2 linked regions of the Schizosaccharomyces pombe genome follow. The gene in region 2 interacts genetically with the main gene of each other region. Each region holds a gene or a part of one and is shown on either strand. Other genes may lie near its edges.

What was found. Genes that interact genetically often act in the same process or in processes that back each other up.
Region 1: mutations in pef1 (region 2) and arp6 together harm fitness more than expected from each alone (negative genetic interaction), as found in Schizosaccharomyces pombe (2 studies listed by BioGRID).

What each region holds. Positions count from the first base shown.
Region 1 is NC_003421.2:1,209,939-1,214,159, reverse strand, and holds arp6 (Swr1 actin-like protein Arp6), read right to left. Parts: upstream 2,222-4,221; 5' UTR 2,153-2,221; coding exon 2,073-2,152; exon of another isoform or gene 2,002-2,072; coding exon 1,887-2,001; exon of another isoform or gene 1,815-1,886; coding exon 804-1,814; 3' UTR 501-803; downstream 1-500. Other genes in the region: nmd5 (karyopherin), read right to left, coding at 3,071-4,221.
Region 2 is NC_003421.2:683,740-690,808, reverse strand, and holds pef1 (cyclin-dependent protein kinase Pho85/PhoA-like Pef1), read right to left. Parts: upstream 3,075-7,069; 5' UTR 3,056-3,074; coding exon 3,028-3,055; exon of another isoform or gene 2,977-3,027; coding exon 2,138-2,976; downstream 1-2,137. Other genes in the region: NatB N-acetyltransferase complex catalytic subunit Naa20, read right to left, coding at 642-1,106, 1,164-1,241; pgl1 (6-phosphogluconolactonase), read right to left, coding at 4,017-4,605, 4,724-4,908; DNA polymerase epsilon Dpb3, read right to left, coding at 5,617-5,760, 5,862-5,981.

The DNA.
Region 1 (4,221 bases), 520 kb from region 2:
AAATGTGAGGGAAAATATATGTAGCCCATGAACAAGGCTCAACAGAAATAATTTGGGATCTCGATTCTTCTTATTACACAGTTTTCCTTTACTGAATTATATGATTAACTTGAGAAAAAGAACAATTTATCCAACAGAAGCAACAAAATTTCACGAAAAGCTCTTTCTATCCAAAATGTAAACAGACGCGACACGACTACATTGCAACGCAACGCGCTACATTCTAATTAAAGTAGTATACCGTGACTGCTCTAACTCAAGGTTGCTTTAACTCTTATACTGTCAACCTGAAACTGCACTGTACATATAAAATGCACTTGAAACAGTAGTGAAGAAGTGCTGAAATTTTTCTTTTTTTTCAATCTTGTTTTTCAGGCACATTAATAATATGTAAGTATAAACACTTGAAGAGATAGAATGTTACATATGATGCTTTACAAATCGATTAGTCTTGAAGACACAACTATGTGGTTAAATTTTTATACTTGTATACTGATTTTCATTCCTATCTTTTTTATAATATCTTTCATTTCGCTAACGCTTTTTAGGTATGAATTATCCTGGCGACAATAATAAAGATATAGTTATTTAGCTGTTGTTTTAGTGGTTGATCAAGAGATAGAATGATTCGTTAATTAATATAAAAAGATTTTATTCTTAATGCATGCATATTTTTCGTTTTATATTGCTGTAGCCTTAATGTAATAAACCAATTTCTTAAGATGCGAATTATCAGCTCGCCTTGAGAATTTTGTGAAGATAGAAATTTAACCCACATTATTGAGTTTTAAAATGGTGATCTATTATATTCTCCTTTTTCGTGTCATTATGTTTGCTCCATGTTCTGAGTACTCAGAACGAGTTATTTTATTCGCATTCCAGTGCTCCAACGGCATATGAGATGCCTTTTTCCATGGAAAGCAAATAGGATCTGAAGGTTCAAAAACTTTAACTTCCCAATTAGCTGGTGCCAGCGACCGTAATTCAGATGATAGTCTTTTATGAAATCCGGGAAATTTACAGTTTCCTCCTATTGTAACAACATTTTCAAGCAACATTGCCTGTATATTTTCAGGAAAGTGGGTGACACTTTGCATGACCGCCTCTGGAATCCCAGCCTCACGTATTTCGATATCAGATGGGGAAAATAATAATTCTGGTATCATGAATCTCTCATTTGAAAGATTCAAAACTTGTTGCTCTATTTTTTGATTAATATCTCTAACAATATATCCATGTTTTCCAGTGCTGTAATCGGGCAAAGCATAACAAATTTCCAATTTTGACCGTGGTTTTTCGTGACATATCTCCATGTCCTCCTTGAAGTTTTGAGACACATAACAAACGGACTCTTTAATTTCATTAACAATGTATGTTTCTTCCATCATATTGTACTTCCGGTATGAGATGACTTCTTTTAAATAATTCGTAAGTAATTTCCCTCCCACATCAACTCGCTTTACCGCTTGTTCTTGAACAGAGAAATCAATCACAGGAATTATGTGTGTAAAGCTATATCCAGAGTCAATTACCAAAACGCATTCTCCATGTTGACCAGTATACGCATCTTCTTGATTCATTGTGAAACTTCCATGATCCCAAGGAATTAGCTCAGCTGGGGTGCAAGGGAGGTAAGCATCGAATTGGAATTCCTCAAACACGAGTTGTATAGTATTGTGTTCTATGGAAGGCATTGTAAATACGGGCTGTGTAAGCAGTAAAGAATAGTCTGCCATGCTAGGTTCCATCACACCTACATTGCGCATTACCAAGTCCCATACGGCTGTTTCTGTGCTCCAATGGACCAAATACCCCTACTAGTATTAGTAAACATAATCTTTGTATTTATTTTGTTCGTAAATAATACTCCCTCATAAATGCTGTACCTTTTCATGCGCCCTGCGAAATTGTAAAGTTGTAAAGTCGTTACAGTTGGCCAATTCATTCCCCAAAAATAATCTGTTTCCATCTTTTGATCTCGTCAAACAATTCGGAATTTCACTAAAAACTATCGTTAGCTGAAAAAAGTAAAAGATACATGAAATTTATTGACGTGATGCACTTCTTCTTACACAACTTTTCCACCTGCAAATCCAGCTTTTATATGGTATGCCCCATTGTCTAAAACAATAGTTTTAGGGGGTAGTCCCATATTATTAATAAAAATGTATTCCTATATCTTAGGTCTTAACTTCACCCAAAAACCGCGATTAAATGTACTGTTGTTACGGCTTTGGAATGCTGTTATATGATAGCGTTGTGCTATAACAACAATATCATTACAGTTTGAAGCAATAGTATAATAACGCTGGCTCTTAAAGATATTTATGATATTTTTAATAATATCATAAATTTGAAGGATATCTTTTTAAAATAACTTTAAAGATAAATCTTGCAAATCTTAGCTTTATCAATATAACAACATCGTTAATGGGGGGCTGTCTATCAAATTTAGTTTGTAAAAGCCGTTTATCATATTATCCAACCCCTAAACTAGCCGTTATCAATTTAGTTAGCTGCTTAATTCAACGTACATCTAATATACCATTCATAAACACCGACTTTCCCTATACTACTAAATCGTGGATACTTAACTTTATGCTTATTTCCTCAAGAAAAATATATTTCTATTTCATTTTCTCATCAACTTGCGTTTGTCAATTCGCATAAAGTAAAAGCAAATGAACTAGTATTAATCGATTTTAAAACTTCTCATATTTATTAACTGGTATATTATGATTTTAAATTTCATTTAATCAATTGGCGTTCCAAAATTCTTATAAAAGAAACACACCTCTGCGTTTGTTTTCACCGAACTGTAAACCGATACAACAATAATTTTCTTAGCCTTCCCTTTAGACAAACCCTCCATCCATTTTTCCCAAGCCATAATTCCGGGTCGTATCTCATTGAAGAAATTATTTTTACAAACCCGTAGAGTTTGATTTCCCATTTAAAAAGAGCCGTTCAAATATGTCAGTTTGGCTTATTACCACTGTGTAGAAAATGCTTGTTTTATATTTTTATATTTTATTACCAAAATTGGACAGGCTTAGAGCGCCAAACAGGCTCATGTTTTATCGGAAGCGACAGCAAGGGTAGAGGGTTTTTCAGTTACCAATCTCTGTAAGGATTGCTGCTCGGATGCTTCCAAATTTTTGACAAGATCTTGTAATGTGACAGGGCTGTTGTCCTTTAAATGAACCATAAACTCTTGGAAAAGTGAAAATGGATCAACTTGATCTAACAAAGTATGGAAAAGAGGATCCTCGTCCAACAAGTAATTTCCTTGGAAATGCTCAAATTCGTCAAAATCGTCAACCACATCAGCCGAGATTTCTCCACCCAAATCAGGTCCCCCATATTCGACGGCAAAGTCATCGACACCCTCATCATCATCGGCTTCCCAATCGATGCCATCATTCCAACCAGAGCCAGATAAATTAAATGTTTCACCGTCATACTCTTTTTCTAATTCCGCGCGAGCAGCTAATGCTTCAGGTAGTGTATTTAAAAGAGTTATCATGACTTTCATTATATTACCCCAAGAGTCTTGGATAGCAACAGCAACTTGTTGAGCTCCCAGTGAAATTACCGATAAAATAGCTACCAAACTCAACTTTTTATCATGCACACGAGTAAACGAAGGTATATTTTCAAACCATAACGCAAAGAATGGTAAAGTCCACTGATGCATTTCAAGTACCCCAAGAGACATCGATGGGTTATAATATAATGCATTGATTATAACCTCCAACAAAAATACGCGGTATGTTTGAGAAGTTGGCTTTTCAGTTACAAGTAAGAGATTACCAGCAACCTCAATAAACGCAGGCACATATTGATCCAAAAGGCCACGATAATTAAGCATTAAAAGTTCGGTTAGTTTACAAGCCGAAACACGGTCATTGACGGCCAGGTGCTCGCTATTAAAAACTTGCATGATAATATCAACCATAACGGCGATATAATCAGGACGGGAAGCAAATTCCTTTCCACCATACGTGATAAAGTTACTTAAGGCAGGAGTTGCCTCCTCTACAAACTCAATGCCAGACTCTTTCAACACCTTTTGAAGCTTTTCATACACGCCCCACATAATAGGGGATATCTCCTTAGAAGCAAAAGTGCAACCATCGATAATTTCAAACAACTCTGCATACACGTCAAAAATGTTGTTATCTAATACAAAATTAATCATTGGAAGTAAGATTGCTTCAA
Region 2 (7,069 bases):
TTGTAAGCTCATGATGTAAATTTTTTTTCAGATAGTTTTACTTTTAAAAAAATAATTCACGTTAAAAGTTATTGCTGGCAATTACTTACTACTTGTTTAAAAAAAATATTTCTGTGGTGAATTGTTTTTGCAAAGTTGTTAAGTCAGATGATCGTGTAGCTACGATTTTTGGTAAAGATATGTTTTACATGTATTTACATAGTTTTGTCTTTCATTTTGCAAGTATAGAGGACTGAATGGAAGTGGGTAGTATAGTCATTCATTGATTTATTGCTAACATAAATAGAAGTTATTTAGTTTGCCATTTCACATTAGAGAAATAAAGTAACTAGTAGACGATTTGCTATTTATCTAAAGGAAACTGAACGCAAATTTCAACCATTGTGTAGTGATACATTATTTTATTGATAAATTATCAAAATGTTCCAAAGAGTTGCATAATCATTAATCAAAAACTTCAAATACTTACAATATCAATATGTAAGCAAGGAAAAGGACCGAGGTCTTAAAGCATAGCAAATATTAGTCGTTTCTGAACTTTGATTTTCATTAATATGATGTACATACTATACCATTTACCTAATATAAAAAAAAATCTTCTTCCTTTGCACTAGTTAATAGATTTGTAAAAAGAGAGTGAACTAAAATGAAACATCAGCTGGGCTGCATTTGAAATTTTCCCCATTCTCTCGAATGCTTTCTCTATTAACATCTCGCGAAAGTGGTTTCCGCATATCAAATGAATCCTCATCCTTTCCATGTGGATTACTATAGTACCCAATAACTCGTCTATAAACCGAATACCCCAATCCTTTGTAAAAGTCAATTGCAAGTGCATTGCTGGCACGCACAAACAGGTCAACAAAAAAAGCGTTTTCAGAATTTCCTACAGTTTCTAAGTAGTCCATCATCGTTCTAGCAAGGCCTAAACGACGGGAATTTGGCGCTACTGTAATGGCGGTAACATGAGTATGCCACTCTTTACCGGTTCCTTCTGATTTCCCCATAATATAACCCATAAGGGTTGGATCAGATAGGTCAGACTCTTGTACAACACACAAGCTAGGCCATTTGTTCAAATAACTGAGATAAAATGAAATATTGAACTAAAAGTTGTTCGAGTTAATGAAAGTCCGCTTTAAGTACGGTAGATGGTAACTTACGGTCTCCGTTAGAGGATCTAAATTTATATTGTTAAATGAAAATAAATCAGTAGCTTTGAATTTTCGCGTATCAGTCATTTTTTCATGTAATGTAAATTCTAGCAGTATGGGTAAAACTAAAAGATTTGGCGAGGTAGAAGATGTCGTAAAAATACGATAAGCCAAATCCGTATATCTCCTTAAACAATAGATTGCTGGGCCAAGCGAGTAGAAAAACTCAAAAGAAATTGTAAAAGACACAATTATTATTTCATGTTTACAAATTGAACCTTCTTCCTAAACGAAACTCAAAGAAATTTAGTCACCTCCTACCATTGATGCCTCAAAACTGAAAAGATGGAGTATAGATGAAAGTAAATAAAAAGAATAATGAACGACAGAAACCACATAAAATGTCGAATGGTTAAAGAGAACATTAATAGAGAATCCCTTCATGCAGTTAAATAATAGGGAAGGAAGCCATTAATCCACTAATAAAAATAAGTGAAAAAAGATTGTTTTTCATGTGCATTGCGGATAATTGCTTGAAATCCGCAAATTATTATCAGTATACTAAAAACCCGCATTGCTTTTTGAATATTATCCTTTTGCTCCTTCATAAAAATGTCAGACGCAATGCGGATCATTCAATTCTTTAAGTATTTCATTTACGACTTGAATGTCATCAGCGACGATATTTTAATCGTAGAAAATAAAACGCCGTTTAATTCTTGGCTAAAAATATATTCGACAGCTTCAAATCCTCTCAAAATAATAACCAAATATTTACCTCTAAACCTCGTTTAAAAAAGATCAATAGGGATAGCTACTTGGGCTAAAACAGTTGCGAAGAAATTTGAACGTCCAAAAATATTGTGCTCTTTCCCTAGGTGAAATGCATTCTTTCCAAAAAAAAAATTAATGATTTCAATAGGAAACTGAAATGAATAAATAAAATCGTAATTTGGTTAAACTTTTTGATGTTAATTTACAGCCTATGCGGTTAAAAACCAAGCATGTTGAAGCGCATCCTGGCCGGTCGTCCTTAATTCAGGTTGTAGACGAAGCATCCGTCGTAACAAATCCAAACCAAGAGGATCAAATGTTGGAAATAGGTAGGCGAGATCTTGTGCTTTATAAATAGGGAAAGTAGGCTTATATTCAGGAAGTAAAGAAATTCCGGGCCATGATTGTTCAGTAGGAGTTCCCAATAATCGGAAGATTTTTAGTAGCTGATCCTCATTATTTGACCCAGCAAATAGAGGACGTCCTGTAGCCATTTCTGCCATGATACAACCAACTGACCAAATATCAATGGAAGTTGAATATACTCGAGAACCCAAAAGAACGTCAGGAGCACGATACCATAAGGTGACCACTTCGTTTGAAAAAGTATTCACTGGAATTCCAATTGAACGGGCTAACCCAAAATCCGCCAATTTCAATTCACCACGACTGTTGATAAGCAAATTTTGAGGTTTCAGATCACGATGTAGAACTCGGTTTTCGTGACAAAAAGATATCCCTTTGAGTAATTGTTGAGTAAAATTTTTTACTTGAGAAGGTGGAAGAGCTCCTTGGTTCCCATAAGTGTCCATGTACTTTTTCAAATCTTTTTCCATATATTCAAAAACGAGCATAAGCTTATTTTCGGTTTGCAAAACGTCTGAGAGAGACATAATATTGGGATGCCTAAGCTCCTTCATAAGACTAATCTCACGGATAGCAGTACTAGGTGTTCCTTCATCTGCATCAATACGAATAACTTTGAGAGCGACAATTTCACCAGTCACTCGATTTTGCCCCTTATAAACATGCGCATATGTTCCCTCTCCTACTTAAGTTAATGAAATTGCAAATTTTGGGACCTCAAACTCATACTTACCTAACTTTTCAAGCCTTTGGTAGTTCATGTTGTGCGATGGAAATATCAAGTGCCTCCTCTACGATGACTAACGACTTAAGGTGATGTTAAGCTAACAAAACTGTTTTTAAGACCTACAGTTTTGAAGAATATGCTAAGAAAAAAAATTTTTAGTCTATTGAGTCATGTCGAACATCTTGCTATAATGTAAACTATTGTAATTAAGATCACTACAGCTTCTATCACAAATTAACCTAATGATAATTAATCAGAAGGTTGCCATCTGTAGAAAACACATAAGTATTAATAAACCCTTACATAAAGGAGAGTTTAAGCAATTGCATGTTTTTGGATATAAATTTCCATCTTTGCTTAAAATCTATCATAAGCAGTATGAGAAAATGCCGTAATTTTGCATAATTTTAAAAATGAATTAATGATTTAATAAAAGAATTGAAGCTAAACTATATCACTGCAATTCAAAAACAATTGGTTTACTTTATCTTGTTGATGAAACACATTTTAGAACATTATCACCAACAAAAAATGATACAAGATAGCTTAAGTTTATATATTTCAATGATTCATTTCTTCATTAAAACATCATATTTCTGCAGTGTGGGTTTGGCCAGTGATATCAATCAACTAAACATGATTCTAAACGAAGCAATAAAACAATTTAATAAAGCATTAGCTTCTTACACATTGTTTACAAGACTAACCTTTATACGCTAGTCTAAAATAAAAAACAGACAACAAATGCAAAGAGGATTTGAGGAACAAGTTCTCTCCTAATCTACTAACATGTGTTAAAACTGGTCATCAAGCATTCCACGGAAGTGACTGAAAGCATTTTGAAAGTCATTATCTAAAGCGTTTATGCAAAGAATCTCACGAACAACAAAAGAGAACTGCAACCTTTCCCTTGAAAGACCTTAAAGAAACAAGTAATGAATCCGAAGCATGTAGCAATTAAGCATTCTAAAGGCCACCTGCTTAAATTGAACTGCCTATTGAGGGAAAACCTTCAAAGAGGATCTCTCAAGATTGGCTGATGCTTCATCATCCACAAACCAGCTTGTACGAGTCAAATTGTTTCGAGTGATCAGCGCACTTGGAAGTTTAGATGTAAAATCCTCAATGACAATAGGCAAAATATCCTTCTTACCAGCACCTGTGGTAACAAAGGCAATGGCTTGAGCATGTGTGACAACCGGTAAAGTCAAAGTGATGCGGTCTTTAGGGGGTTTGGGCGAATCAGTGACTGGGGCCACCCAAGCAACGTCTTCCTGGAGTACCTCGTGATCGGGGAATAGAGAACATGTATGGCCATCAGGACCGCATCCTAACAGCAGTAAATCAAACACAGGGACCTTAACAGTGGAGCTATTTGCAAACACATGCACTAATTGTTTTTCATATTCATCAGCAACATTCTGAGGGTCAATAGGATTTTCTTTCAAAAGCTCAGGATTGATGGTATGAATTTTTTTAGGGTCAAATCCTTCAAACTTGTCAAAAATCAACTTTTTACAGAGCGCATAATTTGAGTTTTCATCATCTAAAGGAACAATTCTTTCATCAGCAAAGAAAACTTCCCTAAATAGAGCTGTTAATCATAAATTGCCTTAAGACAGAGTGTTTCACGTCAACCAAAGCTAAACAAAACCACAGTGAATCCATACAACTCAAAAGTATATAATATCTGTTAACTTACCATTTGGAAAACTCGATACCTCTCTGTTGAGCCAATCCTTCAGCCAAAACCTTTGGTAAACTTCCTCCACTAAGAGCTAAAGTGAACACGCCATGCCTTTTAATAGAAGCTTCACTTTTCTCTTTAACGAATGCACCAAGTGCCTTTGCAACTAAACTAACGTCTGAAAATGAGTAAACCGACATTTTTTCTACTTGGTTCTGGTTTGCTTTCAGTATTTGCGCAATTGTTAGTAATGGAGTAGTATTAACGAAACAAGGTGGAGTGTCGTAATTCATTCGGTAGTCGGAAATTTAGAACAGAACAAATCTTAAATCAGTTTTCGAGTATAGTAATGTACGATTACGGCATTATCACGGCAAGGTAGCGGAGGTATAGAATATAACCATGAAGCAAGCAATACGTCTGCATCGCTGGGATTAGATAAAGAAGCTCGACCTTCTCTGCATTTTTGTTTAAATAAATGAACCAAATGATATTGAGAAAGGAATTAAATGAAGAATATACAGATGGGCGCTGGTAGCTTTTCAATATCTTTCAATCGAGTTCAAACGTTTAACCATTTCCTAATCATTAAGATTGTTTATAGATGTAGCTAACAAAGGCCGCAAATTAGTCATGATTGAAACATGAAAAATCAGGTAACCCAATTTAAGAGAACATGTGTTCTATTTTATCCAAATAGCTACAGTAGTTGTTTGATAAAGCTGTTTGAAAATGCGCATTGTGGATAAAAAGACACAAGAGCATGAAAACGAAGAAGAAAACTCAAATAAAATTCATTAAATCACATTTTACTGACAAGATGATTGTTTCCTTTCATTTCATGAGGAAGTTTCTGAACAAGAAAGGAAACACTTAAGCTTCCGTTTTCCAGTTCTCACACTTTTTAATTATATAGAAAACAAATCTGATAAAAATTCAAATTGATCGTCCTTACGTACAACGTCCTCAACGTCCCTGTATCGTATTCCTTTACGTTTTTGTAATTTGGCAAGTTGATAAGCCTCTGTTGCTAACTTTTCAACAAATAATTCCTAAATCATAAAATAGGTAAGCTTTTATTTTTCTTTTTCTTTTATGCAATCAAAATGGTGCTAAGTCGCCCAGATAGCTGATTTATCAACAACACACATACAGTAGCTACTGAAATTAACAAAGCAGATGCATTAGAACAGTAGTGTACGTCTTCATCTTGCTTTATTATCCTCTTTACTCTGCTCAATGGCAATACAGTTTTCCCATATGTTTTCTCCATGAATCAATCCTATCGACCGAAACAATTTAAAGGACTGGAAAAAAGCAATTATACCCTTAAACTATAAGGTTCTAATATAAAATAACCCAAAATCTCTAGTGCTATAAAAAATTATAGCCTTCTGATTTCTGACTTTTAGTGTGTTGTTGTCAAAATACGAAGTACTCTCGCGTCGCGACCTAATAATAAACATACTTACTTTACCACTAGAACCTTACATTGTTGTTTAACTTGAAACATAAATATTTTTAACTTTTTTTCTATTTTTAAAGAGTATTTCATTTAGTTCTCATAATTTCTAAGACTTTGTGGATTAATAATTTTTTATAATCAGTATAGCATGCGTATACATCAAAATATACTCGATATCGAGTTAATACACTTGGTAAACAAAAGCCGATATAACAAGGCAGCGTTAAAAATGAAAAATAGTAATCACTAAGAATATTTGTAGAATCCTTTTCTTTTTAATATCTTATGCCGTTTTCATATCATAAAATAGGACATGAGTAACTAACACATCCCGGATACGTTTCATAACTATAAATTTGAATATTTTGTGTAAGAAATGAACTTAAATTGCAAAAAATCAACTGAAAATTGCTAAGATGTCGTCCAATAGTAGATTCATTTTAAAAAAAGAAACAAAAAATAAAAGACTCAGCTAACCCCAAACGACCGATAAGAATCCACTTCTGATTGCCTAATCGCCGCAGTGATTGCAAACGCAAACGACACTTCATCTACTGGTAAGCCAACAAAGTGACATGTATCAATATAAAAGCAGGATTTCATTTTTGAAACAAAATCCAATCTAATGTATAAAAAAGGAAAAGTTCAAGGTATCATCAACTCATGCACTCATAAAATCACGTATCGAGACTACTGGATTCCTTCATCCAACTCTATCATCGTGAACTATCGTAATCAAGTTTAATCATCCTTTTAGTTATATAACATAAAAAATCGGCATCTTAGTGTATAAGATTAAACCGAGTTTTCGAGCTCCTTGGCTATGCAAAACTTGTAAATCTCCAGAAACAAATATTAGACGTAAGTAACAGCTTCGTCGAAATTAAAGAGAAAAG